Linked DNA regions of Pelodiscus sinensis. Each later gene encodes a partner of the first gene's protein in a complex. Links are inferred from orthologs where the notes say so. Each region holds a gene or a part of one and is shown on either strand. Other genes may lie near its edges.

Region 1 (7,201 bases):
AAAATACGTCTCTCTCAGAGATTGGTTAGTAACTGGTGGACGCGCGCTTGCCCTCAATATTAGTGCACGGGTCAAAACGCCCTCTGTTCACGGTTGGAAAATCTTCACGGGGACGCCGGAGCAGGGAGCTGTTCTTGGTGCTGTTTGCTCCACGCCCGCGGCTGGCCTGACCACATAGCGAAGCTAGACTCGACAGGGCGACACACTAGAATCATAGGTTCCCGAACGGGGGAAATTCAAGGGGGGGGGGGGGCGCAAGGCGACCCAGCCCCCCACCCCGTCAAAGAGCCTAGTCCCTCTAGTAAAAAAAATTCAGAAAATACTGGACGTGTCTTCCTGGCTCGGGCGTCTGCCAGAACACGCACAGCTTGGGCCTGGCCAGGTTTTTTTTCTTTTTCTTTTTTTTGCTCAACAAGCATTTTTTTGGGGGGGGGGGGGGGGTGAGGGTCTCTCAAAAATCAAAACGGAGGCGTGATGCTGAGAAGGTGGGGAACCGCTGCGAGACGGATGTGAGTGTTTCTCGGCTGGCCGGGCAGCCCCCGACTCTGCTCCTGTGCTGTGGGGGGGCCGTGACCCCGAAGACGCTGGGCCCACAGCTGGGCTCACCCGCTCCGTTGTGAATCCCTGTGCCTCGTGTCAGGACGCTGATGGTCGTGGGGTTTGTGTCCTCCTAGCAGACTTACCTGCTATTGCCACGTGGCAGTGGGGGGCGGGGGGCAGGAGCCAGGGCAAGCCCTTGGGGAGTGGGGAGCTCAGGGCAGGAGTCTGGGGGTGTAGGGTGATGCAAGAATGAGGGTGGAGGGATGAGCAAGGGCTCAGGACAAGGGGGCTATCTGGGGCTCTCTCCCCGCCCCCCGGCTCCTCTCAGGGTGGGGGGGGGCAGAGGCTGTCTCCTGCGAAGGGGCCACACTTCTCTTTCCAGCTGGCAGGCAAGAACACCGAGCCCCCGGCCCTGCTTGGCCACCCCTACGGTGATGCAGCTGCCCTCAGGGATGACCCTCCCCATAGCTCTCCCCTGCGCTCACTGCCCCCCAGTGGCCACTCTCAGGATCGCCTCCCTCCTCTCTCAGCCCCCTCCCCTGCCACGTGCTGGAACACAGCCCCATTCCCGGCACGGCCCGTTGTCCTGGGCCTCGCAAACCCGGCCCTTGCTTGCGCTTTGGAGAAGAGAATCCTAGAATCCCAGGGCGGGCAGAGACCTCGGGAGTCATCGAGTCCAGCCCCCTGCCCACGGCAGGACCAGCCCAACTCAATCAGCCCAGCCAGGGCTTGGTCTAGCAGGGACTTAAAAATCTCTAGGGATGGAGATTCCACCCCCCTCCCAGGCAACCCATCGCAGCGCTTCCCCACCCGCCTAGGGAAAGAGTTTTTCTTAATCTCCAACCTAGACCCCCCCACTGTAACTTGAGCCCATTGCTCCTTGTTCTGCCTCCTGCCACCCCTGAGAACAGCCTCTCGCCAGCCTCTTTGGAACCTCCCTTCAGGGAGTTGCAGGCTGCTTTCAAATCCCCCCTCACTCTGCTCTTCTGCAGACTCAGCTTTCCCCACATCGTCTGTCACTAGGTCACCTCCCTCATCCAGTAACCCCCTCTCCGATCTGGTCACCTACCATATTTGCTTTTCTTACTGCACATCGGGATGGTTTCTTCCTGTGCCTTTAATAAGGCTTCTTTAAAATCCTGCCAGCTCTCCTGGACTCCTTTCCTTTCATGTTAGCATCCCAAGGAATCCTGCCCCTCAGTTCTCTGAGGGAGTTGAAGTTTGATTTCTGAAGTCCAGGGTGTGTATTTTACTACTCTCCTTTCTTCCTTTGGTCAGGATCCTGAAATCTACCATCTCATGATCACTGCTTCCCAGGTTGTCACCCACCTCCCCTTCCCCTAGTAGTTCGTCCCAGTTTGTGAGCAGCAGGTCAAGCTGCGCACGGCCCCTGGTCGGTTTCTTCAGCACTCGTACCAAGCAGTTATCCCCAACGTTCTCCAAAAACTTCCTGGATTGTCTGTGTCCAGTTGTATTGGTCTCCCAACAGATGTCAGGGGGATTAAAGTCCCCCCCCAGAGGAAGCTGCCTGGCAAATTTGGTGGTCCGCGGTCTTCTTGTTTCTGAGTTTTTGAATGGACACTCAGATGGACGGACAGACTCTAGAATTCAGGGCTAGATGACCCGGCCTTTGGGAAGCCACAGTGTAGCCCAGGCAGTATGACCATTAAGGCCATACTGGTATTGCCCCAGCCTTTGGCTCTGGACTGTGGTCCAGATGGATCTGTGTTTTTTTCGATCTGGAGTGTGGAGTGGAGCAGTGCCAATGTGGGGTGTCCCTGCGGGGCGTGCTCAGCAGGTGCGGGGGCCTGTCCCTTCAGCTGCGCCTGGGCCGTGGAGAAAGGTGATCCGTGCATTTTGCATGCCGCTCGACTGTCGGCCAGAGCTGAGGGACCGGTCTTGAAACTGCTACCCATGGGCCCGAGACCCCTCCCCTTTTCTGCTCACTGGAGACCACCCAGGCCCTGTCGTCGCCACCGGCCCCTGCCCCTCACTCTCAGCCCCCCTGCCCGAGGCTAGTCCCCGCCCCCACTGCACTGCTGGCTTTCCTAGCCCCGGGGCACTAGGTGGTTGGGCAGCTGAACGACCCCCGGCCCCAGAGCCTTGGGGGGCCAGGGATCACGGGCTATGTTGTCAGACTTGACCCCTGCCGGCTGGTCCTGTCCCTTCCTGTTGCCAGCTCCAGCGCAGGGCCAAGAGCAGCCTGAGGAATAGGGCACTGTGGGGGCGTAGCCAGAGGGGAATGTGGTGTTGGGGGTGTGGCCAGTGATAGTGTGGGGGCGTGGCAGGGGCTGGCAGGAGGGGAATAGGGCACTGTGGGGGCGTGGCCAGAGGGGAATGTGGTGTTGGGGGTGTGGCCAGTGATAGTGTGGGGGCGTAGCCAGAGAGGAATGTGGTGTGGGGGGTGTGGCCAGTGATAGTGTGGGGGCGTGGCAGGGGCTGGCAGGAGGGGAATAGGGCACTGTGGGGGCGTAGCCAGAGAGGAATGTGGTGTGGGGGGTGTGGCCGGTGATAGTGTGGGGGCGTGGCAGGGGCTGGCAGGAGGGGAATAGGGCACTGTGGGGGCGTAGCCAGAGAGGAATGTGGTGTGGGGGGTGTGGCCGGTGATAGTGTGGGGGCGTGGCAGGGGCTGGCAGGAGGGGAATAGGGCACTGTGGGGGCATGGCCAGAGGGGAATGTGGTGTTGGGGGTGTGGCCAGTGATAGTGTGGGGGCGTGGCAGGGGCTGGCAGGAGGGGAATAGGGCACTGTGGGGGCGTAGCCAGAGAGGAATGTGGTGTGGGGTGTGTGGCCAGTGATAGTGTGGGGGCGTGGCAGGGGCTGGCAGGAGGGGAATAGGGCACTGTGGGGGCGTGGCCAGAGGGAGAATGTGGTGTTGGGGCGTGGCCAGTGGGAGTGTGGGGGCGTGGCCAGAGGGAGAATGTGGTGTTGGGGGCGTGGCCAGTGGGAGTATGGGGGCGTGGCCAGAGGGAGAATGTGGTGTTGGGGGCGTGGCCAGTGGGAGTGTGGGGGCGTGGCCAGAGGGAGAATGTGGTGTTGGGGGCGTGGCCAGTGGGAGAATGTGGTGTTGGGGGCGTGGCCAGTGGGAGTGTGGGGGCGTGGCCAGAGGGAGAATGTGGTGTTGGGGGCGTGGCCAGTGGGAGAATGTGGTGTTGGGGGCGTGGCCAGTGGGAGTGTGGGGGCGTGGCCAGAGGGAGAATGTGGTGTTGGGGGCGTGGCCAGTGGGAGTGTGGGGGCGTGACCAGAGGGAGAATGTGGTGTTGGGGTCATGGCCTGTGGGGGCGTGGCCAAAGGAGGTAGGCTATCGCGGGGCGGGGCTAGAAGGGGCGGGGCCTCGAGCCGTGGCCCCATGACGTCATCACAGGCCTGCGAGGCAAAGCGAAGCCTGAACCAAACTACTCCCAGCCCCTCTGCCGCCTGCAGGACCCCGTGGGAAACGCATTCCCGCGCTCCAGCCGGTGGCTGGGGGAGAGGTGTCCTTGTCAATCGCCTGATGAAAAAAAACGACACACACCCCCGCGCCGAGCCCTCTGCCCCGACTCCAGTGCGCTCGTGTCCGTCCCCCTCAGAGAAACCCCCGCCCTCAATGGTCCCTTTGGTGCGGGTGGGTTTTTTTTCGTTTGTTTCCAATCAGGCGCTGTGTTAGGCAGCCCCATCCGGCCGCGGGGTCCTCGCCGAGGCGCGCTCCCCTACCCCTCCCCCCACATTCCGGAAGTGGAGGCGCCGCTCAGTTCTGGCCGCGGCCGCCGCTCGAAGGAGACTCGGGCGCCCCTCCCCCCTGCAGCAGGTGAGCGGCCCCGCCGAGAATCGGTCGCGCATCGCCGCCGCGCGGGGCCATCCGCCCCCCGGAGCTCCTGATACCCCTCGGGCGGGCGATTCCCTCCCCGCCGCGCCCGGTCTCGGCCGCCATTTCCCGCCCCCGGGCCCCGAAAATCCGCCCGGAAGGGGCCCCGGGGGGGGCCGGATGGACGGGTTCCCCCATTGTGCGTCTCTAGCCGGCCAGGAATCCAAGATGGCGCCGGCCCGGCGGCCCTCCAGCCCCCGGGCCGCTCCGCCATCCGCGGACATCGGCCCCGCCCGGCCGCCCCCGCCCCCGGGACCCCGCGCGGGCGGGAGGGAGGACCCCCCCGCCGCCCCCCAGCCGGGTATTGGTGGGGCCGTGAAACGAACACACACAAAAATAGGGCGCCCAAGCCGCCCCCCCCACAGGGGAGCCTCCGACATGGGGGAGGGGTGCACCCCCCGTGCATGGTGGGACGTGCTGCAGTGGTTTGGGGGCAGGGCCCCTGCACTATGGTGGGTTGGGGGTGGTGAAGGGGATTGGGTAGCAGTGTATGGGGAGTAGGGCCCTGGCAGGGGGCAGGCCACGGAAGCAGTACCCCCCCCCCCCCCCCCCCCCCGCCATCGCAGCCTGTATCCTAGGACCTGGGGGCCTGCCCCACGGCAGCCGGCAAAGCGGGTGGTTGTGGCTTGTGGGCAGCACCCCAGTTTCTTCCTGGCCAGCCTGGGGGCGCCTCTTCCTGGCCTTGCACCTAGGCAGGGGGGCGGGGTGCTGAGGCTGCTCCTCTCAGTCCTGGGCAGGGGGGGAGGGTTATGGGGTGCAGCAGCCCCCAGGCCTGGTTTCTTTGTGGTGCACGCAGGGAGGGATTTGGGGAGCAGGGGCACCCCAGGGTCTGACATGCCCGCAGGGGGGCAGGGTACTGAGGCTGCTCCTCTCAGTCCTTAGCTGGGGGGGGGAGTGTTATGGGGTGCAGCAGCCCCCAGGCCTGGCTGGCTTTGTAGTGCATGCAGGGAGGGATTTGGGGAGCAGGGGCACCCCAGGGTCTGACATGCCCGCAGGGGGGCAGGGTGCTGAGGCTGCTCCTCTCAGTCCTTGGCCGGGCGGGGGGCGGGGGGGAGGGTTATGGGGTGCAGCAGCCCCCAGACCTGGCTGGCTTTGTGGTGCATGCAGGGAGGGCTTTGGGGAGCAGGGGCACCCCAGGGTCCGACATGCCTGCAGGGGGGCAGGGTGCTGAGGCTGCTCTTCTCAATCCTTGGCCGGGGGGGGGTTATGGGGTGCAGCAGCCCCCAGGCCTGGTTTGCTTTGTGGTGCACGCAGGGAGGGATTTGGGGAGCAGGGGCGCCCCAGGGTCTGACATGCCCGCAGGGGGGCAGGGTGCTGAGGCTGCTCCTCTCAGTCCTTGGCCGGGGGGGGGGGGGGGAGGGTTATGGGGTGCAGCAGCCCCCAGGCCTGGCTGGCTTTGTGGTGCATGCAGGGAGGGCTTTGGGGAGCAGGGGCACCCCAGGATCCGACATGCCTGCAGGGGGGCAGGGTGCTGAGGCTGCTCCTCAATCCTTGGCCGGGGGGGAGGGTTATGGGGTGCAGCAGCCCCCAGGCCTGGCTGGCTTTGTGGTGCATGCAGGGAGGGATTTGGGGAGCAGGGGCGCCCCAGGGTCTGACATGCCCGCAGGGGGGCAGGGTGCTGAGGCTGCTCCTCTCAATCCTTGGCCGGGGGGGGGGAGGGTTATGGGGTGCAGCAGCCCCCAGGCCTGGCTGGCTTTGTGGTGCACGCAGGGAGGGATTTGGGGAGCAGGGGCACCCCAGGGTCTGACATGCCTGCAGGGGGGCAGGGTGCTGAGGCTGCTCCTCTCAATCCTTGGCCGGGGGGGGGGGGAGGGTTATGGGGTGCAGCAGCCCCCAGGCCTGGCTGGCTTTGTGGTGCACGCAGGGAGGGATTTGGGGAGCAGGGGCACCCCAGGGTCTGACATGCCTGCAGGGGGGCAGGGTGCTGAGGCTGCTCCTCTCAGTCCTTGGCCGGGGGGGGGGGAGGGTTATGGGGTGCAGCAGCCCCCAGACCTGGCTGGCTTTGTGGTGCACGCAGGGAGGGATTTGGGGAGCAGGGGCACCCCAGGGTCTGACATGCCTGCAGGGGGGCAGGGTGCTGAGGCTGCTCCTCTCAATCCTTGGCTGGGGGGGGAGGGTTATGGGGTGCAGCAGCCCCCAGGCCTGGCTGGCTTTGTGGTGCACGCAGGGAGGGATTTGGGGAGCAGGGGCGCCCCAGGGTCTGACATGCCCGCAGGGGGGCAGGGTGCTGAGGCTGCTCCTCTCAGTCCTTGGCTGGGGGGGGGGGAGGGTTATGGGGTGCAGCAGCCCCCAGGCCTGGCTGGCTTTGTGCTGCATGCAGAGAGGGATTTGGGGAGCAGGGGCACCCCAGGGTCTGACATGCCCGCAGGGGGGCAGGGTGCTGAGGCTGCTTCTCTCAGTCCTTGGCCGGGGGGGGAGAGTTATGGGGTGCAGCAGCCCCCAGGCCTGGTTTGCTTTGTAGTGCATTCAGGGAGGGATTTGGGGAGCAGGGGCGCCCCAGGGTCTGACATGCCCGCAGGGGTCAGAGCGTGCCCCCTGCATCCCACTTCTCTCCCGCAGCTGGGCACAGCCCCCAGGAGTGTGGCGATACGAGTGGGGCTGGGGGCCCCCCAGTACTGCCAGTGGGGGGCGATGGGGTCCAGTTTGCAAAGCCTGTGGGGGAGTTCGGTAGGGCTCCCCTCAACATGTGGCGTCCGGAGTACGGCTGTGGGATTTGGGGGGGGTGGATCCAGCCTCCCCCCTGTACCTGGGCTCGCCCTGCCCCCCCACTCTGTGGGGCTGGGCTGTACACGGGCAGTTCGAGGGGGTGTGGGGGTTG
Region 2 (7,415 bases), on another chromosome or scaffold:
GAAAAAAGCGCCAGTCTAGACGGGGATCTTTCGGAAAATAAAGCCTTTTCCGAAAGATCCCTTATTCCTCTTAAAATAAGGAATAAGGGATCTTTCGGAAAAGGCTTTATTTTCCGAAAGATCCGCGTCTAGACTGGTGCTTTTTTCTGGCAAAGCCCCGAGCCGGAAAAAAGCGGCAGCCATGTTTACGCAAATGAAGCGGGGGGGGGGGGGGGATTTAAATCCCCACTTCATTTGCAATTGCGATGTGTCTAATTTGCATCCCTTTTACGGAAAAGGGATGCAGTCTAGACACAGCCAAGGCGTTTTAAGTCTCGGCTTGACAAAGCCCTGGCTGGGTTGATTTAGCGGGGATTGGTCCTGCCTAGAGCAGGGGTCTGGACTTGATGACCTTCTGAGGTCTCTTCCAGCTCTATGGTTCTATGTGTCTATCATGTGCCATGTTGCACACCAGGAGGCCCCCCCTACGCGTTCCGCAGAGGGGTGGCCCACACGGTAGAGGACTGACACACCAGGGAGGGATTGTGCCAAGGATGAAGCATCAAGCACAGCTGGTCTGTAGGATGCAAGCAACGTGCCAAGCTAGCGCAGGGCCCCGCCACCCAGAATGGCTAAGGCAAAACCAGAGGCCGCATTCTACCACCTGGTGGCACATCTAGGGAACGTCTTTGACGACGGCATGGGAACAATCCTACTCTGCTGTCCATGGCCTGCTTGTGGGTATCCTCGCTTGGCTCAAAAGCAAAAAGCACGAAGAGAAATTAATCACAGCCATGAGTTTATTGACACCAGTCCAGGGATTGCCACACTACAGCCGGTAAGTGACACACTATTGGCAAGGGGCCTCGTCCCAAAGCCACGAGGGTTCAAAGAACTGGCATGATTCTGGCGCTGCACAGCACAACGGACCAGCGGCTAGGTCTCTGGTGGGAGCAGGCCCTGTATCCCACGGGTCTCACAACAACCTTCGTTTCTGTACTGCTGCATGTGAAGGTATCAGCTCAGGGCCCAGCCTGCCTGCGGTGCACGGGGAATGGCTGCAAAGGCATAAGCAGCTGAGATCATGGATAGAGAGCTGCACACGGCCCTAAGAAGCCCATTTCAACTTGCAGGACCATCTCTCCCCACTTGACAGGCAATGCCAATACCGACTCTGCAGCATGCAATAGTGGTGATGTCTCAGGATGTGAGGGGGGCAGGGCAAGCCAGGACTGAGAGGCCTTTTCAGAGAACACGGATGGGAAGGTACCCCTGATGCAAGAGCTGGGAGAGGTATTATTTAAACAGGGAGGTCCCCTTTAGTTTAGGAAGCAGCTTCTCAAAGGGTCAGACACTGACCCTACTGACATGGCGTGGAGTTGCAAAGGACAAGCCGTGTCTTAACAATCAGGTCCAGGGTGTTTTAAATAAGGCACCCAAACCACAGATCCATGTCTGCATGGCAAAAGGGGCTTTTTACTGACACACACACACATGCTGCGTAGACTCAAGTGTATGAACTCATGTGGGATGCTCAGTCTCAGATCAGGATGAAACAATTAATGCTGAAAGCTGTGACAGCGTGTTGAACCGGCATCTCTGCGGGAAAGGTTAATATGCACCACTCAGATGCTCCCTCTGCCCCAGGCTTCCCTCTTGCCTATGGTGAGTCATAACAGTCTGTGGGCAAGGTTCCTCTGGAAGGGATAGGGAAATGCAAGAAGCTGTATAAATAATTCACTGTTCCAGGGTCTGGAGAGAGGAGACTAAATCCCAAGAAAACACGTTAGCAATAGCGTGTGAAATCCAAGTAGATCTGCTGGCTGGGGGAGGGGCTGTCACTCCTTGAACTTCCACTCCTGCCGGCACATGGGACAGTGCTGCTGGACCTGCTGGGAATTCAGCCACTTGAGAATGCAGTGCATGTGGAAGCAGTGGGAGCACTGGCCCCACACCAGTGGGCAGTCGTCTCCAGGCACCTTACCTGTAAAAGGACAAAACTCATGAGAGAGCGAGAAGGGCGCCCCGGGGTGAAATCCGGCCGGGGGCCAAGGGCCTGGGCTACTCACAGTCTGGGCAGCAGCCATTGAAGGCCATCCGGCAGATGCCACAGTTCTCATCATTGGCCACCCAGAGCCAAGAGGCTACCCCATTCCAGCTCTTTATCTTCACCTTCATCCTGCCGGCTTCTGCCTCCGGGGGTCAAGTCAGCACCTGGCATGAGAAGCAGCTACTCAGACTGAGTTTTATCATTAACCCTTTAGAACATCAGAGCGGCCAGACTGGGTCCATCCAATCCAGCATCCTGTCTTCACTGACAGGAGCCAATGCCAGGTGCTCCAGAGGGAATTGACAGAGCAGGGAATCATCATGTGGTCCCTCCTGTCGCCCATTCCCAGCTTCTGGCAGAGGCCAGGGACACCAGCCCTGCCCATCTTGTCTCTTAGCCACTGATGGACCCTAACCTCCATGAATTTATCTAGCTCTTTTTTGACCCTGTTAAAAGTCTTGGTCTTTACAACATCCTCTGGCAAGGAGTTCCACGAGTTGACTGTGGCTACGTCTATCCTGCGCAAGAAAATATGCAAATGAGGCAAAGCGGTGAATATCGCTATGCCTCATTTGCATACTTAATAAGCCACCATTTTTGCGCAAAAGCCATTCTTCCTGAAAAAAGAGCTGCGCAAAATGGCGGCTCATTAAGTGTGCAAATGAGGTGCAGCGATGTTCACCGCTTTGCCTCATTTGCATATTTTCTTGCACAAGACAGCACAGCATAGACGTAGCTGTTCTTGCGCAAGAATCCACAGAGCATACACACTGCCCGCCCGCTCTTGCGCAAGGAAATTTACAGTACAGCGTGGTAAGAGAGGGCTTCTTGCGCAAGAGCTACGCTCCTTTTTAACAGGTGTAAGCCCTCTGCACAGGAGCTCTTGCGCAAGAGGTCAGCGTGGACACTTGGCAGGGATTTCTTGTGCAAGAAAGCCCTATGTTTAAAATGGCCATCAGAGCTTTCTTGCGCAAGAGAGCGTCCACACTGCCAGGGATGCTCTTGCGCAAAAGCACAGCGCGCACATGGCAGTGTGGACGTGTTCTTGTGCAAGACTTCTTGTACAAGAAACCTTGCGCAAGATATTCTTGCGCAAGAAGCCTCCAGTGTAGACATAGCCTGTGTGTTTTGTGAAGAAAAACTTCCTTTGGCTTGTTGTAAACCTGCTGCCTATTAACTTCATTGAGTGACCCCCTAGTTGTGTTAAGAGGAGTAAATCATAGGTTGGTTCCCCTGCTGAAACAGCTTATATCCCCAGGGGCCATGCAATCTCCTTTGGCTGTCAGCACTGCTTCCTCCCCTGCGGCAGTTCAAAGTGGGATGTAGATGGGACTGTCCCTTCCTCCATAGCTCAGTCATTACTATAGAAACTCTGCCATAGGGAGCCTCTCATCTGAAATCTTCTAGGTTGGGCTTAGTGACCCTGCCTCATCACTGGGCACATCAGGAACCGTAGGTGCCCTTGTGTTTCCGGGCATGGAATGAAAATGGATCGCGACTCCTATTAGCATTCGGCACTTGATTACTGCAGACCAGGGCTGAGGCCGGACGGCTTCCCTGCTCCCCACGGGAAAGGTACTGGCACACACCTAACGCACCGCAGCCCCGAGAGCGCCACACGACCCGGAACGCAACACTGCACAGCTGCTGGGCGCACTGCACAAAGCCCCCCCCTTCAGGATCTCTATGGGGCTCCACGATCTCTGTCTGCTTCACCACCCTGAGAGAGTTCTGCCCACTCCCCTCTCTTTGCAGTCCGGGAGCCCCCCCCGCCCCTAGGGAACGCTCCCAGATCTCTGCCCCACCCCTAGGATTTCTTCCACCCCTACAGAGCCACCCCACCCTAGGGAGTCCCCCTGAGATTTCTCCCGCCCCTAAGGAGCCCCCTCCCGGAACTCTCCAGCCCCCCCTGCCCTAGGGAGTCCCCCTGAGATTTCTCCTGCTCCCCCTGCCCCCCAGGAAGCCCCCCCGATCTGCCCAGCCCCCACTAGGGAGCCCCCCCGATCTGCCCAGCCCCCACTAGGGAGCCCCCCCGATCTGTCCAGCCCCCCCGATCTGCCCAGCCCCCACTAGGGAGCCCCCCCGATCTGCCCAGCCCCCACTAGGGAGCCCCCCCGATCTGTCCAGCCCCCCTTCCAATAGGGAGCCCCCCCCGGATCTGTCCGGGCCAGGCCCCCGCCCCCCGGCACGTGCTCCGGCAGCTCCGCTCACACTCTCTGGCTGGGCCGGCGGGAATCTCTAGGGCCGCGTACCGGAAGTCCCGCCCCCGGCACCCCGCTGTCACGGCCTCGGCCCAACGGAGAGGCGTGTTAGGCGGCTGCGCCCTTCTTGGCGCCCGGGCCCGCCCCTTCCGCTTCCGGCGTCGGCGCAGCGCGGCCGGAAGTGCAGGCCCCGGAGCGGAGCCGCCATCATGGCCGACAAGATGGACATGTCGCTGGACGATATCATCAAGCTGAACCGCAGCCAGCGGGGCGCTCGCGCCGGGGGCGGCCGCGGGGGCCGGGGGCGCGGGGGCGCCGGCCGCGGAGGCGGGCCCGGCCGGGGCAGCGCCGGCGCGGGCCGAGCAGGAGGCGGCCCCGTGCGGAACAGGCCGGTCATGACCCGGGGAGGCGGCAGGAATCGGCCCGCGCCCTACAGCCGGGTACGGAGCGGGGCTGGCCCGCGGGCCGGATTGCGGCGCGCGGGGGCCGGGGCCGGCCCGGGGGCCGGCGGGGCTGGGGGCCGGGCCCGCGGGAGGCCCTTTGTTCTCGCCCAGCCGCAGCGGGCAGGGGGCGAGGAGCCGCGAGCCCCAGCGCAGTGGCGGGGGCCCGGCCGCGGGGCTTGGTCGCTGAGGGGATTTGTTCTGTTTCAGCCAAAGCAGCTCCCCGAGAAGTGGCAGCACGACCTGTTCGATAGCGGCTTCGGGGCTGGGGCTGGCGTGGAAACCGGGGGGAAGCTCCTGGTTTCTAATCTGGACTTCGGTGTGTCGGATGCAGATATCCAGGTAAGAAAGTGCCCCCCCCCCACGTCGGAAAAGCACCAGAGGTGACGCTTTGCGGTAGTTGGCATGTGCCTCTTTTCATCAATACTGTGTTTTCTGAGCTCTACGAACCCTTCCTCATGGATGGATACTGTGATCTCCAAGGCAGTTCACTTTGTATTATTATTATTATTGCAGCCAGCACTTCTGATTTGACTCTTTTGGTACTATCTGATGTGACTGGAGTGCAAAAAAAAGTTGTTTAGCTTTTCTCTAGTTTGTTGTATAATGAATGGCTGAGCAAAAGTGCATGTGTGGAAAGCTGTGATGTTTGGATCTGAAAATGTAATGTAACTTGTCCAAAATCTGAAACATGCAGATCCCAATAAATGCATTAATAGAATGCTTTACAGGGTTGCTTTGTTTAATTCTCTCTACTGTTAAGATCTTGCTTTTTGTCACACACATACACTGTCTCTTTTTCACATCCACTTTTCTTCCTCCAACCTGTCTTTTTTTCCAGTTCAGAACTCTTATGTTAGGCAAAACTTGTATTGGGTTGTGAGATCTCTAGTCAACTGAGGTGGGGACATGCTTTTAGGGAACTAGCGCAAAAAGCATATGGGTTACGTACTCTTCTACTATAGCATCTGTAACTATCATCATATTGTAAAGGAGCTAAGATCTCTCAGCTGAAATGTAGTAGCCCTTGTGTTTGCTCTACTTATCTTCTTTGAGACATGTCGAAAGTCTCTTAGGCTAGTAACCACTGACCATTGACAAATATATCCTAAAGTATTTTGAGTTAGCTTAATACAACTAAAGTGCAGGCTCACAGGCTTGAAGAATAGCCTCCCGCTAGTCACCTGGGTGCTGAGTCTCAAACGTAGGCCACTAACTTTCAATTGACTTTCATGGAAATTAGGAACAGAAATACCTATGATAATCTGGGTCCTAGTTGTCAAAGTGCTATCAGATGTGCCAATCCAGGTCTTAGGAGACTTAAGAGGTCTTTTCCAACACATTGTGCAAGTTAGAGGCCTTCAGGTTGGCAGGTCCTGATGAAATACATCCTTGAATACTGAAGGAGCTGTCTGAAGAGATCTGAGCCATGAACGATTACCTTTGAGAACTCAGGGAGGATGGGAGAGATCTTGGAGGACTGGCAAAGGGCACATATAGCACCTAACTCTTAAAAGGAGAATAAGGACAATCCAGGGAATAAACAATTTGCTTAATTTGGGAACCCAGAAAGATAATGAAGCAAGTATTCCATCAGTTTGTGAGCACCTAGATGATCATAAAGTGGTAAGTAATAAGCAACATGCATTTGTCAAACAAATTTCAAATCAACCTAATAATTAATAAGCCTTGTGGATAGGGCTGAATAGTGGGGTGATATATCTCGATTGTAATAAGACTTTTGATACTTTCTCACATGACCTGTTATAAGCAAACTAGAACTGTAGCCTCGATGAACCGACCTAAAAGGTGGTTGCGTAATTGGTTGGAAAACCACACTTCGAGAATAGTTAGGAATGGATCACGGCCAAGCTGGAAATTGATTGAAATGGAGTCCCTCAGGGATCAGTTTTGGGTCTGGTTCTATTCAGTATCGTCGTAAATTAATTGGATAGTGGCATAGAGCAGGGGTTTTCAGACACTGGGTCGCGGCTTGTAAGGGCAAATGACTAACTGGCCGTGAGATGCTTTGTTCACGTGCACCTTCGCAGCTCCCATTGGCTGATCTGTGGCCAATGGGAGCTGTAATTGACGGTAAACAGGATTAGAACACAAAATGGTCTCAACAAACCAGAGAAATGGTCTGAAATAAATAGGAGGAACTTTAACAAGGACCAATCTAAAGTATCACACTTAGGAGTGAATAATCAGTTGCACAAATAAAAAATGGGAAATGACTACCTAGGATGGACTACAATAGGGGAAAAAAATCTTGGGGTTATAGTGGATCACAAACTAAATACGAGCCAATGGTGTAATACTATTGCAAAAAAAGCAAACATCACTTGGGGATGATGTAGTAGGAGTGTTGCAAGCAAGACATGAGAGGTAATTTTTCCACATAGCACTGAGCCTCAGTTGCAGTATTGTTTCCAGTTCTGGGCACCACCCTTGGAAAAAAAATTGGAATTTTTGTTTTGTATAATGGAAGACAGGGGAGTGGAGGATAATAACAGTGTTCAAATGTGTAAAAAGTTTGTTGTAAAAAGGAGTGTGGTGTGTTCTGCTCCTCCCCTGAGGATAGGACAAGTAATGGACTTAAATTGCGGCAGGAGAGATTTAGGTTAGGCATTAGAAATCATTTTGTAACTGTAAGGGAAGTTAAGCACAGGAGCAGCTTACCCAAGGTAGGTTGTGGAATCTCCATCATTGAAAGTTTTTAAGAACAGGTTAGACAAACACCTG
Region 3 (7,653 bases), on another chromosome or scaffold:
ACACAGTAACATATGGTGCAAGGGAATGCAAAATCAGACCTTATGGTGCACATGGAGCAAAATTAAATTTCTTCTTGATGAGGATGATTTTCCCAATGAATTGCAAGCTTAGAAACAATCTTACAAGTCAACTGTTTCAAATAGATAATTGTAGGAATGTTCACCAATAGGCAAGAAGTGAGATATACAAAATAAACCTCAAGTTATGTATTTGTACAGATTTTTAATGACAGTAAAGATGCTTTTCAAGAAGCTCAAGCACCAGTAGCATCCATTAAAGTTATAAACAAACTTCAGTACATATAGCTAGCAGTGCTATGACAGTTCTTCAGCTTACCATTTCACTTCATGGCTACATCTACACTGGCACCCTTTTCCGGAAATGCTTAAAACGGAACAGTTTTCCGTTATAAGTATTTCCGGAAAAAGTGCGTCTACATTGGCAGTATGCTTTTCCGGAAAAGCACTTTTTCCGGAAAAGCATCCGTGGCCAATGTAGACGCGCTTTTCTGGAAAAAAGCCCCGATCGTCATTTTCGCGATCGGGGCTTTTTTAGAAAAAAGACTACTGTGCTGTCTGCACTGGCCCTTTTCCGGAACAGTTTTTCCAGAAAAGGACTTTTGCCCGAACGGGAGCAGCATAGTTTTTCCGGAAAAACACTGACAATTTTACAGTAGATCGTCATTGCTTTTCCGGAAAAGCAAGCGGCCAGTGTAGAGAGCTCGCAGCTTATTCCAGAAAAGCGGCTGCTTTCCTGGAATAAGTGGCCCAGTGTAGACACAGCCAATGTGTGTGAAGTGATATTCCCTTTCACTACTTCCTTCACATTTGTGATTTTAGATTGCAGTATCGGTTATGGTAAGTTTTCAGAAATCAAGAGTCTGACCCCTAAAACTACAGGATTGGGGTTAAAATAACTTGTAAATAAACAAAATGTTTTAAAAAATCTTTTGATTTCTGGTTTTTGAGCCTTTTAGGGTATAATCAGTTCACATTCACAGACTTTTCTCTGCAAACATGAAAGCTTATATATATGGTAATTAAGTGATATATCACTTTAAGTATCAGAGGGGTAGCCGTGTTAGTCTGGATCTGCAAAAGTGACAAGGAGTCCTGTAGCACCTTATAGTCTAACAGATGTATTGCAGCATAAGCTTTCGTGGGCAAAGACCCACTTCTCAGATACATGTAGTGGAAATTTCCAGAGGCAGGTATAAATATGCAGGTAAGAATCAGGCTAGAGATAACGAGGTAAATTCAATCAGGGAGGATGAGGCCCACTTCTAGTAGCCGATATGGAGGTGTGAACACCAAGAAAGGAGAAACTGCTTTTGTAATTCGCTAGCCATTCACAGGCTTTGTTTAATCCTGAGCTGATGGTGTCAAATTTGCAAATGAACTGCAGCTCAGCAGTTTCTCTCTGAAGACTGGTCCTGAAGTTTTTTTTCTGCAGGATGGCTACCTTTAAATCTGCTATTGTGAGTCCAGGGAGATTGAAGTGTTCTCCTACAGGTTTTTTGTATATTGTAATTCCTAATATCTGATTTCTGTCCATTTATTCTTTTGCGTAGGGACTGTCCAATTTGGCCAATGTATATAGCAAAGGGGCATTGCTGGCACATGATGGCGTATATTACATTTGTCAAATTTGCAGATTACCCGCGTATGTTTATAACCCACAGGGACTTCTACAGCAGCCCTGGGCAGCAGTGCATAGACAGCAGACACAAGGCGACAGCCATCCTGCTGTCAGTGAGCCAGACGGACTGCGAGAGGGAGACACACTCATGCCCAGGCCCACCCCGTGCAGCCAGGCGTCACCCACCCTCCTCCGGGCGGGGAGAATGGAGAGCGTGCGCGGACACGCTGGAAGCTCGTCAGGCCCTCTCTGCAGCAGAGCTAATCCTGTTCTCATGGCGGGCGAGCAGAGACGCTTAGGGGAACTGATGCTCCTGGAGTATAAATCAATTTATATAAGACGCAGACATGTATACCCCATGGAGGGAGGGGACGCATGGTTTGTAAAAACATATATAACCCATGGGTTATATTTGCTAATTCATGGTAATTAGCAAACACCCAGACCTAAATATACCCACGTGGTTTCTTCATATTGATGACTGTTCTATAAAGAGTCAAGCCACAACAGAGGGCAACTACTTATTTTGTTGTTTTGTTTTGTTTACATGAGAAGTGAGATTCTCACACCATCACTTGTATCCAGAGCTGCAGCTTTAAGAAGAACACTAAATATGTGGAAAGAGTAGCCATAAAATAGTGAGAGTTGGTATTGCATACTGCACAGAACTCCACAGATACAGGACAGAAGAGTTTGAAAGAGTCACCAGTAAGCCAGTCTGTGTGCATGTGCCTGGAATGTTAGCTACTATTGTAGCACCGCTGTAAATAGTTCTTGTAATAAAGTCAGATTATTTTAGAAACATGGTGATCTCTCAAGTTATTTACATAGTATATGTAATGGGTAGTACTGATATTAAGCCCATCAAAGCAAGGATTTTTTTCCCGTGTTTGTACAGCATTCAGCACATTGGAGTGCTAATCCTTATTGGGTCCTGTGAGCATTACCACATTAAGCATTACTAGTAAATGATTTAGAATTAGGGTTGCCAGGTGTCCGGTTTTCTACCCGACAGTCTGGTTTTTGGCCCTCTGTCCGGTAAAAAAAATCCAGAAAACACTGGATATGTGCAATGTCCGGTATTTCCTGGTTTTCTGGCTGGACGCTGGACAGAAGCCTGGCGGGGGCAGGAGTGACTGGGAGGCGGGGCATGATCGGCACTGGGAGCCTCTGGTTGCATGTGAGGAGGAGGGGCAGCCCGGTCCATGCTCCTGCGCGCTGGTCAAGCGTGTGGTGGAGCCGCAGCCGGACTGACTCGTGTGTGACGGGAGCGCTCTAGGATCTGCACAGCCCGGGTCAGTCCTGCTCCACGCTGGCTGATTTGCTCCCCTGCCCCCTCCGCCAGCTCTGAGTCTCGCTGGCCAGTTCCTGCTCTGGATTTTCCCCGGCCAGCCCCGCTGCACTCCCTGAGAGCCCTGCTTCTGGCGGCCAGTTCTCCCCTCCTCCTGAGCTCCCCCGGTCAGTTCTGCCCTCGCTGGCCACCCCCCCAAATATCCCACAGCCAGCCCTGTTCCGCCCGACCCCCCCCACTGACCAGCCCTGCTTTCCGTCGGCCCCCCAATCTTCCCTAGCCAGCTCTGCTGCCCCCCCCCAGTTAGCTCTGTTTCCCGGCCCCCCCCACTCTCTTCCCGGCCATCACTGCTCCCCTCCCGGCCGGTCCTTTCTCGGTATTTTTTTTTTATGACTACCTGGTAACCCTAGCGGTGATCCTATGATTAACACAGGGTATGTCTACACAACAAAGTTAATTCGAACTAACGGACGTGTGGACACTCTGTGTGGACATGCTAGTTCGAATTAGCAAAACGCTAATTCGAACTAGTTTTTAAGTCTAGCTGCGCTAATTTGAATTAGCTTAGTTCGAATTAACTAATTCGAATTAACTATTTCGAACTAAGTTAGTTCGAATTAGCGCTGTAGTGCAGACATACCCCCAGAGATTTAAACTGAGAAGCAATTTGCTTTCCCCCTGCTCGATTGCCCTCCTGGCTCCCAACACCCCCAGCCGCCTGATCCCAGCCCCCATGTTTACCTGGTTCTGCAAGGCTCCCAGCACAAAATGGTCTCGGAGTCTTTTTTTTGTTTGTTCAAGAACTTTGGTCTCCCCCCCACCCCTTTTTTTCCTTCAACAGAATTTTTTCTCTGTTTTTTTTGGGGGGGGGGGGAGGGTGTTCAGTATTTTTGTTTCAACCATCTGGCGACCCTATTTAGAATAAATGTACTAATTTTCTCAGCCTCTCCATTCTCCATAAAAAGGTCCCCTCCACAACAACTGAACCTCAGTATTGCCAAAGCCAGGTATTAAAAACATCGCAAGATTTTTTTAAAAACAAGTAAAATGTGGGATCTTTTTCTTGGTTTCTCACATACTGCGTTTGTCTCGCCTTTTCAAGCTTTTCTCCACACCATTTTTTTTACATGGAAAGGTTTTATGTAACGGGGTTTAAACTGCAGCAAGGGAGGTTTAGGACGGACATTAGGAAAAAGTTAATGTCAAGGTGGTTAAACACTGGAATAAATTGCCCAGGGAGGTTGTGGAATCCCCGTCTCTGGAGATATTTAAGAGTAGGTTAGATAAATGTCTATCAGGGATGGTCTAGACAGTACTGGGTCCTGCCATGGGGGCAGGGGACTGGACTCGATGACCTCTCGAGGTCCCTTCCAGTCCTAGTATTCTGTGATTCTGTGAAAGTGCCAGCGCAATTGCACCATCACATTAGTTGAGGGAAGCAGCTCGACCTAGAGCCCTGCTCTGGGCCTCCAGAGCACTGGCTGGGACGCTGCAATAGGGCTTGCTGGGGGAGGGGAGAGGCTCAGGCTCGCGCGCCTGCCCCCTCCCCAGGGATCGGGCTCCGCCCCCGGGCCATGGAGGCTCCTCTGGCCCTGGCGACACCAAGCCGCACCCGCAGGGGGCGCGCGCCCGCATTCCGCGCCGGGCTGCCTTTTTTTTTTTTTCCTGGCACCATAGAGTAGGAGGACCGATCCAGCCTGGCCACTTCCACATCGCTCCGGGATCGTTGTTTCTCACCTTCCCTCCGCTTGAGCCAACCCGGAAGCGGAAGTTCGCCCGCAGGGGGTTGTGGGACGCCGGCGCGGAGGCCCGCTCCTCTGTTTTCTTTTGGGTCAGTCGCATTCGGCAGCGGCGGCGGCCTGGAGGGGGAAGGGGTCGCAGACCGTCGCGGGGTGAGTCAGACCAGCCCCTCCCCCCCCATGGTTTCCAGTAGGCCCGTCTCTGTTGAAGGTGGGGGCGGGGGCCGCAGAGCCCTCCCCGGGGGTAGCCGTGACCTTTGTCCCCGTAAACATTCGCAGCCCTCCTCACCCCCCTCGGCTCTATCCGAGCTGCCCGGGCCGGGGTGTGGGTGGCGGGGGAGGGGGCAGCGGAATCAGGTGGGAAGGAAGCGCCAGGTGCCGCCTGGGAAGGACGCCGCTCAAGGTTCTTCTAGAGCTTTTAAAACGTGTGTTTCTGGCCCTGTTGTGCAGAATTCGGGGGTGATGGGGGAGGGGGCCGGATCAGACAATGTTTATGTACTGGACGTAGGAAAAAAAAAGTTAAAGCTTCTGTATTGGTTAAAAGGCAAATTACCAACATCCTGTGTCTAAATATACACAATAAGTAGCTGTAAAACACGCGTACGGTTTTTCTTCTTTTGCCTGACTGCAAATTTCACTTTTTATAGATGGAAATACTTTCTTATGGGGAATGTATGTGGAAGGTGAATTTGTTGGTCATTTATTGATTTCTCATTTTCTCAGTTTATTTTATGACTGATAAGAGTTGTATTTGTGAATCACTGGCAAATCTATCTATTTGTGAAATTATCTTACAAGTAGAGCACATCTATAGATAACATTCACAAATGTGTTTTGAGTAAATCAAATACTATTTGGTGTTGCTGTTTCCCATTCTAGGAAAGGGCTCTCGCTGTCTTCAAGTTGCATCATGTATAATATATTTAGGTCTGAGCAAGAGTTATAAGGCTAATTTTTCCCTTTAAATGGAAATTTGTTTTTCTTTCTTTCCAGAATAAAGTCATCTATTTGAGAATATGGAGTTCTTCAAGATTGGACTGTTGCAGTATAACTGTTTCTGGTTAATACTTCAATTATTCTGCTCATGCTAGTACTAGGTGATAACATGAGTTTCACAATGCTTCCTCCTGAAGCATAACTAACGGTTGAGTCATTGAATATCAAGCCATATTTATTATTCATATCATCAGCTTTTCAATTTCTCTGTGGGCTTTATTCTTGTGGCTAATATTTAAGTCTTGGAACTGAATTCCTATATTGTGATGTTTAGAAAACAGTTTATAATGGCAATGCTGTTAAATTTCCTAATTAACTTTCATGCCAAGAATCAGTGGCTTTACTTGGTAATATTTAAGTCTCAGAAATGGTCAGTTATTTACAGATAGGGACTATGTTCCTCAATTAGTGTGGCCTATAAGTTCACTTAGTATACATTTTCCTTACTGTTTTTATACTTTTTTTTTTTTTTGTGCTATGGCTGCTGCTACCATAGTTCATGATACATCCGAAGCAGTAGAGCTCTGTTCTACATATGGTTTATATCTTAAACCCATTACAAAAATGACTATTAGTGTGGCCCTTCCTCAGCTGAAGCAACCAGGAAAATCCATTTCTAACTGGGAAGTGATGGAAAGACTAAAAGGAATGGTGCAAACGCATCAGTTTTCCACACTACGGATTTCCAAAAGTACCATGGACTTTATTCGTTTTGAAGGAGAGGTTGAAAACAAAAGTTTGGTTAAGTCCTTTCTTGCATGCCTTGATGGCAAAACAATAAAACTTAGTGGCTTCTCTGACATTTTAAAAGTTCGTGCTGCAGAATATAAAATTGACTTTCCTACTAGACATGACTGGGACTCTTTCTTCCGTGATGCAAAAGATATGAATGAAACTTTGCCAGGCGAGAGACCAGACACCATTCACTTAGAGGGGTTACCTTGCAAATGGTTTGCACTGAAGGACTCTGGCTCAGAAAAACCAAGTGAAGAAGTCCTTATAAAAGTATTTAATAAATTTGGGGAAATACGTAATGTGGACATACCCATGTTGGATCCATATAGAGAAGAAATGACTGGAAGAAATTTTCATACTTTCAGTTTTGGAGGACATTTGAATTTTGAAGCTTATGTTCAGTATCACGAGTATGTAGGTTTCATCAAGGCCATGAATGCTCTGCGAGGGATGAAACTGATGTACAAAGGTGATGATGGAAAAGCAGTGGCTTGCAATATAAAGGTGAGGAACTGTGGAATTATTTTGTAATAGATCTTAAAGGGGAAAAACTACTGTTGAAGGTCCTTTCCATATATGTTAACATCTAGACCCTCATTTTATATGGATATCAGGTCAGATTGATGAAGTGACAGCACAAAAATAGTCTCTTGCAATATCCATAGTGAAATTTCAGATATAAGGTGTGATAGTGAAGGAGTGGTAATATGCACAAAATAAAATTTTAATATTGACGTAGCCCTTAGGCTAGGAATAATACAGTGTGGGAGCTAAATATGTGAACCAAGTCTGTGTTCTAAATGCCACATTTAAATTCTTAAAAGTTGTGTTTTGTAAATGTTAACCCATCTCCTCTAGATCTTCCACATTCTTGATTAGAGGATGGCAAACTTCATTATCTAACCCATCAAGGAAGGCTGCTGGTAAACACAATTTCCTGGTGCATCTGGAGTGTCCTCAGGCCTGAAGTCCCTCAGCTCCCAATGGCTGCATTTCATCATTCCCCTCAAATGGGAACTGTAGAAAGCATTGTGGGCTGAGGGGTGTACTGGCCACTACTTCCCACCTCTCTTGTTGGCCAGGAATGGCAAATTGCAGACATTGGGAGCTGTAGGGTGCCAGCCACTGAAATATAGGATTGTCTTATGAATGGATCATGGCAGTTTTCCATTTTTATCTATTCATCTTGGGGGAGGAATCGTCTTATAAACGAGTGGGCTAATGAGTATATATAAATGGTATTCCTCTGATAT
Region 4 (6,850 bases), on another chromosome or scaffold:
TCTCCTGGGGCAGGAGAAAGGGAAGGGTACGCAGCCGGGGGCCGTGCTGCGGTCACCCAGGTGGGGCTAGCTTGGACGGCTACCCAGCCCCAGGTGCAGCACCATGACTACCGACTGGTGCAGCTGGGGGGTGTCATGCCCCGCGGGGGGGCTTTGAGCGATGGCTCAGTCACCCAAAGGCAGCTGTGCTGTCACCCGGCCGGCCCTCTCCAGGAAGCAAGAACGCCCTGCATCCGCCTCTAGGAGCTGAGAAGATGCATCTAGGCCCCGGGCAGTGCAGGCACTCACGGATTGGCCTGCGGGCTTGCCTGCCTCCAGCACAGGAGCCCATCTCAATGGACCGTTGCTGGCCCATGCTGACACCGCCGGGTTCCCGGCTCGCCGGGCCCTTTGCTAACGGGGCATTTCCCCAGCACCAAACCCCAGCAGGACGGCAGAGCTCACAGGCCGGCCCAGCAGCTCCTCGGGCTGGTGACGTAAGCTCTGCGCAGTGCTGCCCAGAGGGGATCGGCACAGGCTCATCTGCGCAGAGACCGCACCTTTCCCCTTGGCGCACGCAAGCGGAGACCTGCTGTCCCCTGCCCTCCGCGGGACCTTACCAGGCGCGACCCGCTGTTCGAGCTCTGCCTTGCTGGGGCGCTGCTCGGTACTGAGCGGGCACAAGGCAGCCAGAGGCCAGGACGGGCGCATTGCAGAGGAGGTGGCCAAACCCCAAGTCATTGGTAACCCCCCCCCCGAATTTGCAGTGCGCTGGCTGCAGGCTGGGATGTTGAGCCACAGAGCCCGGCTGACGGGAAAGGCCGGGGGCGCAGCCCAAGCATCGCCCCCCCATATGAGAGGCGCCACCTGGCCCCGGGAGGGAGGCAGGGGCCCCACGTGCTTACCTGGCGGGTTTCCTCGTCCTGTACCACTCCCTGGAGGAACAAGTGGTGCACCGGCATCCTCCTGAAGTAGCGCAGCTTATGCAGCCAGGCCTTGTGGACCAGCCTCCGCCTGCCTGGCTCGGGGGGTTCCTGCTTCGCTGCACCCAGCACCCAGCGACTAGTCTCCAGCAAAGGCCACTCTGGAGACCCGCGGCCGCTTGCAGGGGGGCAGCTGGAGCGGTCGGGAGAGAGTCTCTGAGCCGGGGGCAGGGGCCCGCAGTCCGGGTCGTCCCTTGGCTGGCAGCTACTGGGAGGTTCGGGGACGGAGCAGTCCGAGCCTGCCCTCCAGCTGCTGGCCGAGGAGAAGGAGAACACGTCGGAGTCCAGCTGGAGGCTGGCTAGGGAGCCCAGGTCACTGTTAATGGTGGTGCTGCTGCTGCTGGAGTCGGAGGAGAAACAGCCTCCCCCGTGGGTGCCCTTTGTCTCCGCGTGGGCTCTGTCCCAGGGGGCCCCGCAGCCTTGCTCGGCCTCCTCTTTGCTTTCCTGCTTTACGGCGGGGAGCAGGGGGCCGTGGGGAGGGAGCGCACACTCCGCGCCGACCTCGGGGGAGCCCTCCCCCTCGGTCAGGTCAATCACCGCCAAGTCCTCGCCCGTCAGATCAATGACCTCCTGGGGAGAGAGAGAGCCGTCAGTGCTGCCCCCAAGCCTTGGGGCCCCAGGACGGAGCTCAGCTTCAACAGCCCACATGAAAGTCTTCCTCACGGGCAGCATCAGCACCCAGAAGGCCCTGCCGGGACCCCACGCTCACCCGTGAAGAAAGAGGGTTGAAAGATGGGAGCGGGCTCCCGGCAGAGTCACAGGAAGGGTTAAAAGACTCAAGAACAAATGTCAGAGACCCCCGGAGCTCAAGCTATTTCGCTTGACAAAGAGACGGCTAAGGGGAGACTTGGGCACAGTCTGGGTGTAGCTACGTGGGGCTTCGATGTATCAAGGACTCACGATCCAATGGCCAGAAGCAGAAACTAGACTAATTTAGACTAGAAATAAGGCCAATGTGGAAGAGTGACGGTAATTAGCCCCGGGCCAGCCTACCAAGGGCTGGGGCGGATTCTCCAGCCCTGGCAGTTCTGAAATAAAGAGCAGATGTTTTTTCTAAACGCTCTGCTCTTCGCAGCCAGCGCCTCGGGATTTGGCCCAGAAATTCAGAGCCGCCTTCGGTTCTGCTGCTCAGATGCGAGCACAGCGGCCCCCTTCTAGCCTTAGAATCACGGAGGGGTTTATGCAAGCCAGTGCTGACCCAGAGTGCCGAGAGGTCGAAATACGGCAACTAGTCATGGTGAAAGTAATTTACAAAGCATGCTGGTACAGGAGCCCAGCTCCCGGGGCCCCAGTGGGAAGGGGTGGAGGTCAGCTTCCCCCAGCCGGCCTTTCAAACCAGGGCCTTTAAACCACCAGGCCCTGGGGCAGCTGCCACTTTTGCTCACCCCCTCATGGGCTGTGCCCAGGACGGTAGGGGCAGCCACTTCTCTCCGGCACGCCGTACCCACCCACTTCCACCCCGCTGCCGGGGCACGAGGAACTGGACTGAGAACAGCCCCTCTCAACTCGCAGGGCCTCAGCCAACAGGATAAGCATTGGCAGCCACTGCAAACCTGAGCCATGTCTGGCCCCCGAGCCAGCCAAAGTGCTGGTACCCCTGCCAGCCACACCAGCTGACTGGCTCTGAGGATCAGGCCTGGCCCATGGAGGTCTGGTTAGGCATAGTGAGTGCGTGCATGTGCACACAGGGGGGCGCCCGGCGGGAAGCCAGGGATGGTGGTGCACAGGGGCTAAAGCAGTGGGGCATGAGAGTTTGGTTTTGGGGTTGGGCAGCGAGGGGGATGCAGGGGAGCAGCACGGGGCGGTGTGTGGGGGCAGCACCGGGGGGCCAAGAGGGGCATGGGGAGGCAGCACCGGGGGGCCAAGAGGGGTGCAAGGGGTTGTGGGGGGGCATAGCGCTGGGGGGCCCAGAGGAGCGCAAGGTATGTGTGAGGGGCAGCGGGGGGGCCCAGTGGTGCAGGGGAACAGTGGGGGGCCCAGAGGAGTATGGGGGCAGGGGCAGATATAGGGCAGGGCGAGAGGGGCGACTGCCCTGGGCCCCGCGCATGCGCCGTGGCAAAGGGGGGCCCCGCGAAATTGGACTGCCCTGAGCCCCGCAAAAGGGGCACCTGCCCCTGCATGGGGGGCAGCACTGGGGGGCCCAGCGGTGCAGGGGGAACAGTGGGGGGCCCAGAGGGACATGGGGGGTGTGTGCGGGTAGAACTGGGGGGCCCAGAGGGGCATCGGGCGCGGGGGGGCACGGGGCTGTGGGGGGGGGGCGGGAGTCTGGTGCCGGGGCGGGGGGGCCCAGAGGGGTTCGGGTGTGTGTGGGGGGGCAGCACTGGGGGGCCCAGGCAGGTGCAGGGTGGCGCGAAGCTGTGGGGGGCAGCACTGGGGGCGCGGGGGGGCCCAGAGGGGTGCGGGTGTGTGAGGGGGGCCCAGGCAGGTGCAGGGTGGCGCGAAGCTGTGGGGGGCAGCACTGGGGGGCCAGCGGTGCAGGGGGAACAGTGGGGAGCCCAGAGGGACATGGGGGGTGGGGGCAGCACTGGGGGCGCGGGGGGGCACGGGGCTGTGGGGGGGCGGGGGGGCCCAGAGGGACATGGGGGTGGGGGCAGCACTGGGGGCGCGGGGGGGCGGGGCCGGGACTCACCGCGTGGCCCCGCTCCGAGCCCGAGTGGCGGGTGCGCGCGGCGCCCTCGGCCATGCCCCGCCCCGCGCCGCGCGGGGGCGCTCACGGGGGCCGGGGGGGCAGGCGGCTGGGAGCGGCCCGAGGGGTCCGCGCGCGGCTGCAGGCGGGGCCTGTGACCCGTGCACGGGCCGGCCGCGCGGGGGCGCTGCAGCGCGGGGGGAGGGGCGACGTCCCGCCCCTGGCGCCGGAAGCGGAAGCGGAAGCGCGGGCGGCGGTTGCCATGGCGCTCTCGCCGTACGTGCAGGCCATGCAGGAGCTGTTCCGGGCCAACACGCGCAGCCGCGAGTTCCCGGCGCACGGCGCCAAGGTGCACTCGGTGGCCTGGAGCTGCTGCGGCCGCCGCCTCGCCTCGGGCTCCTTCGACAAGACCGCCAGCGTCTTCGTGCTGGAGAAGGACCGGCTGGTGCGCCCCCCCGGGGCGGGGCTCCGGGCGGGGCGGGAGGTGCTAGGGGGCGGGGCGGGGCTGGGGTGGGAGGGGGCGGGGCTCCGGGCGGGGCGGGAGGTGCTAGGGGGCGGGGCTGGTGGTGGGAGGGGGCGGGGCTCCGGGCGGGGCGGGAGGTGCTAGGGGGCGGGGCTGGGGGGCTTGGCCTGGGGTGGGAGGTGCTAGGGGGCGGGGCTGGTGGTGGGAGGGGGCGGGGCTCCGGGCGGGGCGGGAGGTGCTAGGGGGCGGGGCTGGGGGCTTGGCCTGGGGTGGGAGGGGCTGGGGGGGCGGGGCGGGGCTAGGGGGCTCCGGCCGGGGCGGGAGGGGCTGGGGGGGGGGGCTGGAGCCCGCAGCCCGCGACGTGTTTGGGGGGTTGGGGATCGTTCAGTCCACAGAAGAGCAGGGGGGGGGGGGTTGAGAGCAGCCTGCGGCTCCCGGGGGGCCAGAGGCTCTTCTCAGTGGGGCAGGGCGAGGGGCTCGAGGCTGGCGGGGGCGGGGGGTGAAGGAGAACAATTCTCTTCCTGTAGGTGAAGGAGAACAATTATCGTGGCCACGGGGATAGTGTGGATCAGCTGTGCTGGCACCCCAGTAACCCCGACCTCTTTGTTACCGCCTCTGGAGACAAAACCATCCGTATTTGGGACGTCCGCACCACGAAGTGCATCGCTACCGTGAACACCAAAGGTGGGTGCTGATGTGAGGAGGTTAGAGGGACCCGCACATCTCAGTACAGCTACAAACACTGCTTCTTTTGCAAATGCATCCTGCTCCCAACATGGATGCCAGTAAATTCAGGAAACCTGAGAGCTCTATATGATCAGGGCTCGACAAACTATAGAATCTACTCACCCGTGGCGAGTAGATTTCAGCTGCACACCCCATTTACCGGTGGCATGCGCATGCTCAGTGCGGGGCTGGCGAGCAGCTTTCACTGCCATTTGTCAAGCTCTGTATATGATGATTGTGTGGCAATTGCATCTTTCTGGCTCTTAGTAGCAAATTATAACTATACATTACACCAGGGGTTCCCAACCTTTTTTGGCTCCCGTACCTCCTTGACAAGCTTCTCGTTCCCCAGGTTGGGAACCCCTGCATTACACTATCTCCAGGGAGAATTTGTGTGTGTACCCAGCATTAGCCATGTTCTGACACAGTGTTAAACACCTGAACCTGTTTACATTAGCGCTAGTATTGGTGGAGGTGCACTGATGTTAGACTGTCTCAAAATCTCTCTGGTGTGTGGCTCTAGGGAGAAGGGATAGCTAGAAGTTAGAAAAAAACGTTGAGTCCTCCCATTTCTATTTTTTAAGCATCTTTTCTTCCAAGGTTTCGTTACATATTCATTCCAGTCAGTATATAGGTGGTATATAGGTGCGGGAAATGTGTGCTAGGGTGCTATGCAGGTGAATCCTGCTCTCCCTAACTCAGCTGGGATTAGCAGCACCCCTGCAAATTGTTCCAACACCCCTGAGTCACTACTATGTAAAAAAATTGTTCAGAAACAAGGAGGAGTCCTCTGGCGCCTTAAAGATTAACAGACATATTTGGGCATAAGCTTTCGGGGGTAAAAAGCACTTTGTCAGATGTATGGTTTTTACCCACAAAAGCTAATGCCCAAATATATCTGTTAGTCTTTAAGGTACCACAGGTGCTGTCTGTGCATTTTGCCACTCAAGGCAGAAGGTTTGTGGGGCAGACCTGGGTTAAACGTACAAGAGTCTGTCTATGGCACATGAATGGCTCTTGCCCCCATTAGTGGTGCGGGAGGACCTGCCCACTCTCTTCCATTCCAGGAGAGAACATTAATATCTGCTGGAGCCCCGATGGCCAGACCATTGCTGTGGGAAATAAGGATGATGTGGTCACCTTCATTGATGCCAAAACACATCGCTCCAAGGCTGAGGAGCAGTTTAAGTTTGAGGTGAATGAGATTTCCTGGAACAATGATAACAACATGTTCTTCCTCACCAACGGAAACGGCTGCATCAACATCCTCAGGTACTTACCGGCATGGTCTCTAGTGCGGGGCCCCCCTCTTACATCTCCTGCCCTGCTCCCTCGGGCTGTCTTTCCTTCTCATGGCTCTTGTGTAGACTGATTGCCTTGGCAATAGCTGAGGGCTACAGTGTGGTGTGGTTGGGGGGTTGTGTGCTGTCATAAGCTGGCTGGTAGACGAGGCTGAGAGGTTCCCAATGGGGCTCTAGTCTGCTGTCCTTTGATCGCTAACCCTTTAGGGTTCCTTGCTGGGGGTGGGCCTTAGGGGGTGGGCCTATCTCAGGGGAACAGGGTGTTAAAAGAAATGGGAGTTTTGCGAGGCAGATGTACCTAGTAACGGCTCCAGCATGAGACTGGGAAGCACAGGACACCGGGTGCACAGAGGTGGGAGATCGCTGTGAAGTTATCCCCTGCGACACAGATTCAGCGATGAGGCTGCACCCATCTCTGACCCAGCGCAAGGACTGGGTCTACCCCCAGAAAACCTCAGGGTCCTGCACCTCTATGCCAGGTGCACCAGGTGTGGGCAACTCATGGCCCTCAGATTCCAAGTATGGGCTCTTGAGACCAGGGTGGCTGAACTGGAGGAGCTAAAAGAGAGGGAGGTACACTGCAGAGACTTCCAGGGTAACAGTAGAGCAGTCTCCCCTCCCCCCCCCCCCCCCCCCCCCCGACAGCCTCTGTGCTGTTGAGGGGAAGGAAAGTCTTGAATAACATCAAGCTCGAGCAATCCCATAATTGGGACCTCCCTTCCAGATGATGTCATGGTGCTCCTCTGGGGCCCACTTACTAAGAGACAGGTAA

Evidence for each region. Proteins that work in one complex are often made in the same cells at the same time.
Region 2: DDX39B (region 1) and ALYREF share a complex: the UniProt entries of both Homo sapiens proteins name them as parts of the transcription/export (TREX) complex. The link is inferred for Pelodiscus sinensis from reciprocal best matches to the Homo sapiens genes DDX39B and ALYREF.
Region 3: DDX39B (region 1) and AKAP17A share a complex: the UniProt entries of both Homo sapiens proteins name them as parts of the spliceosome. The link is inferred for Pelodiscus sinensis from reciprocal best matches to the Homo sapiens genes DDX39B and AKAP17A.
Region 4: DDX39B (region 1) and THOC3 share a complex: the UniProt entries of both Homo sapiens proteins name them as parts of the transcription/export (TREX) complex. The link is inferred for Pelodiscus sinensis from reciprocal best matches to the Homo sapiens genes DDX39B and THOC3.

Annotation. Positions count from the first base shown.
Region 1 is NW_027465831.1:175,560-182,760, reverse strand, and holds the start of DDX39B (spliceosome RNA helicase DDX39B), read left to right. Parts: upstream 1-4,192; 5' UTR 4,193-4,326; intron 4,327-7,201. UniProt on the Homo sapiens protein: Involved in nuclear export of spliced and unspliced mRNA. Component of the TREX complex which is thought to couple mRNA transcription, processing and nuclear export, and specifically associates with spliced mRNA and not with unspliced pre-mRNA.
Region 2 is NC_134730.1:29,740,956-29,748,370, reverse strand, and holds the start of ALYREF (THO complex subunit 4), read left to right. Parts: upstream 1-4,415; 5' UTR 4,416-4,439; coding exon 4,440-4,670; intron 4,671-4,880; coding exon 4,881-5,012; intron 5,013-7,415. Other genes in the region: ANAPC11 (anaphase-promoting complex subunit 11), read right to left, coding at 1,818-1,963, 2,049-2,157. UniProt on the Homo sapiens protein: Functions as an mRNA export adapter; component of the transcription/export (TREX) complex which is thought to couple mRNA transcription, processing and nuclear export, and specifically associates with spliced mRNA and not with unspliced pre-mRNA.
Region 3 is NC_134711.1:223,232,559-223,240,211, reverse strand, and holds the start of AKAP17A (A-kinase anchor protein 17A), read left to right. Parts: upstream 1-4,653; 5' UTR 4,654-4,761; exon of another isoform or gene 4,762-4,822; intron 4,823-4,890; exon of another isoform or gene 4,891-5,094; intron 5,095-5,662; 5' UTR 5,663-6,142; coding exon 6,143-6,904; intron 6,905-7,653. UniProt on the Homo sapiens protein: Splice factor regulating alternative splice site selection for certain mRNA precursors. Mediates regulation of pre-mRNA splicing in a PKA-dependent manner.
Region 4 is NC_134727.1:40,973,561-40,980,410, reverse strand, and holds the start of THOC3 (THO complex subunit 3), read left to right. Parts: upstream 1-3,850; coding exon 3,851-4,072; intron 4,073-4,578; coding exon 4,579-4,735; intron 4,736-5,844; coding exon 5,845-6,049; intron 6,050-6,850. Other genes in the region: SIMC1 (SUMO-interacting motif-containing protein 1), read right to left, coding at 885-1,532, 3,592-3,645. UniProt on the Homo sapiens protein: Component of the THO subcomplex of the TREX complex which is thought to couple mRNA transcription, processing and nuclear export, and which specifically associates with spliced mRNA and not with unspliced pre-mRNA.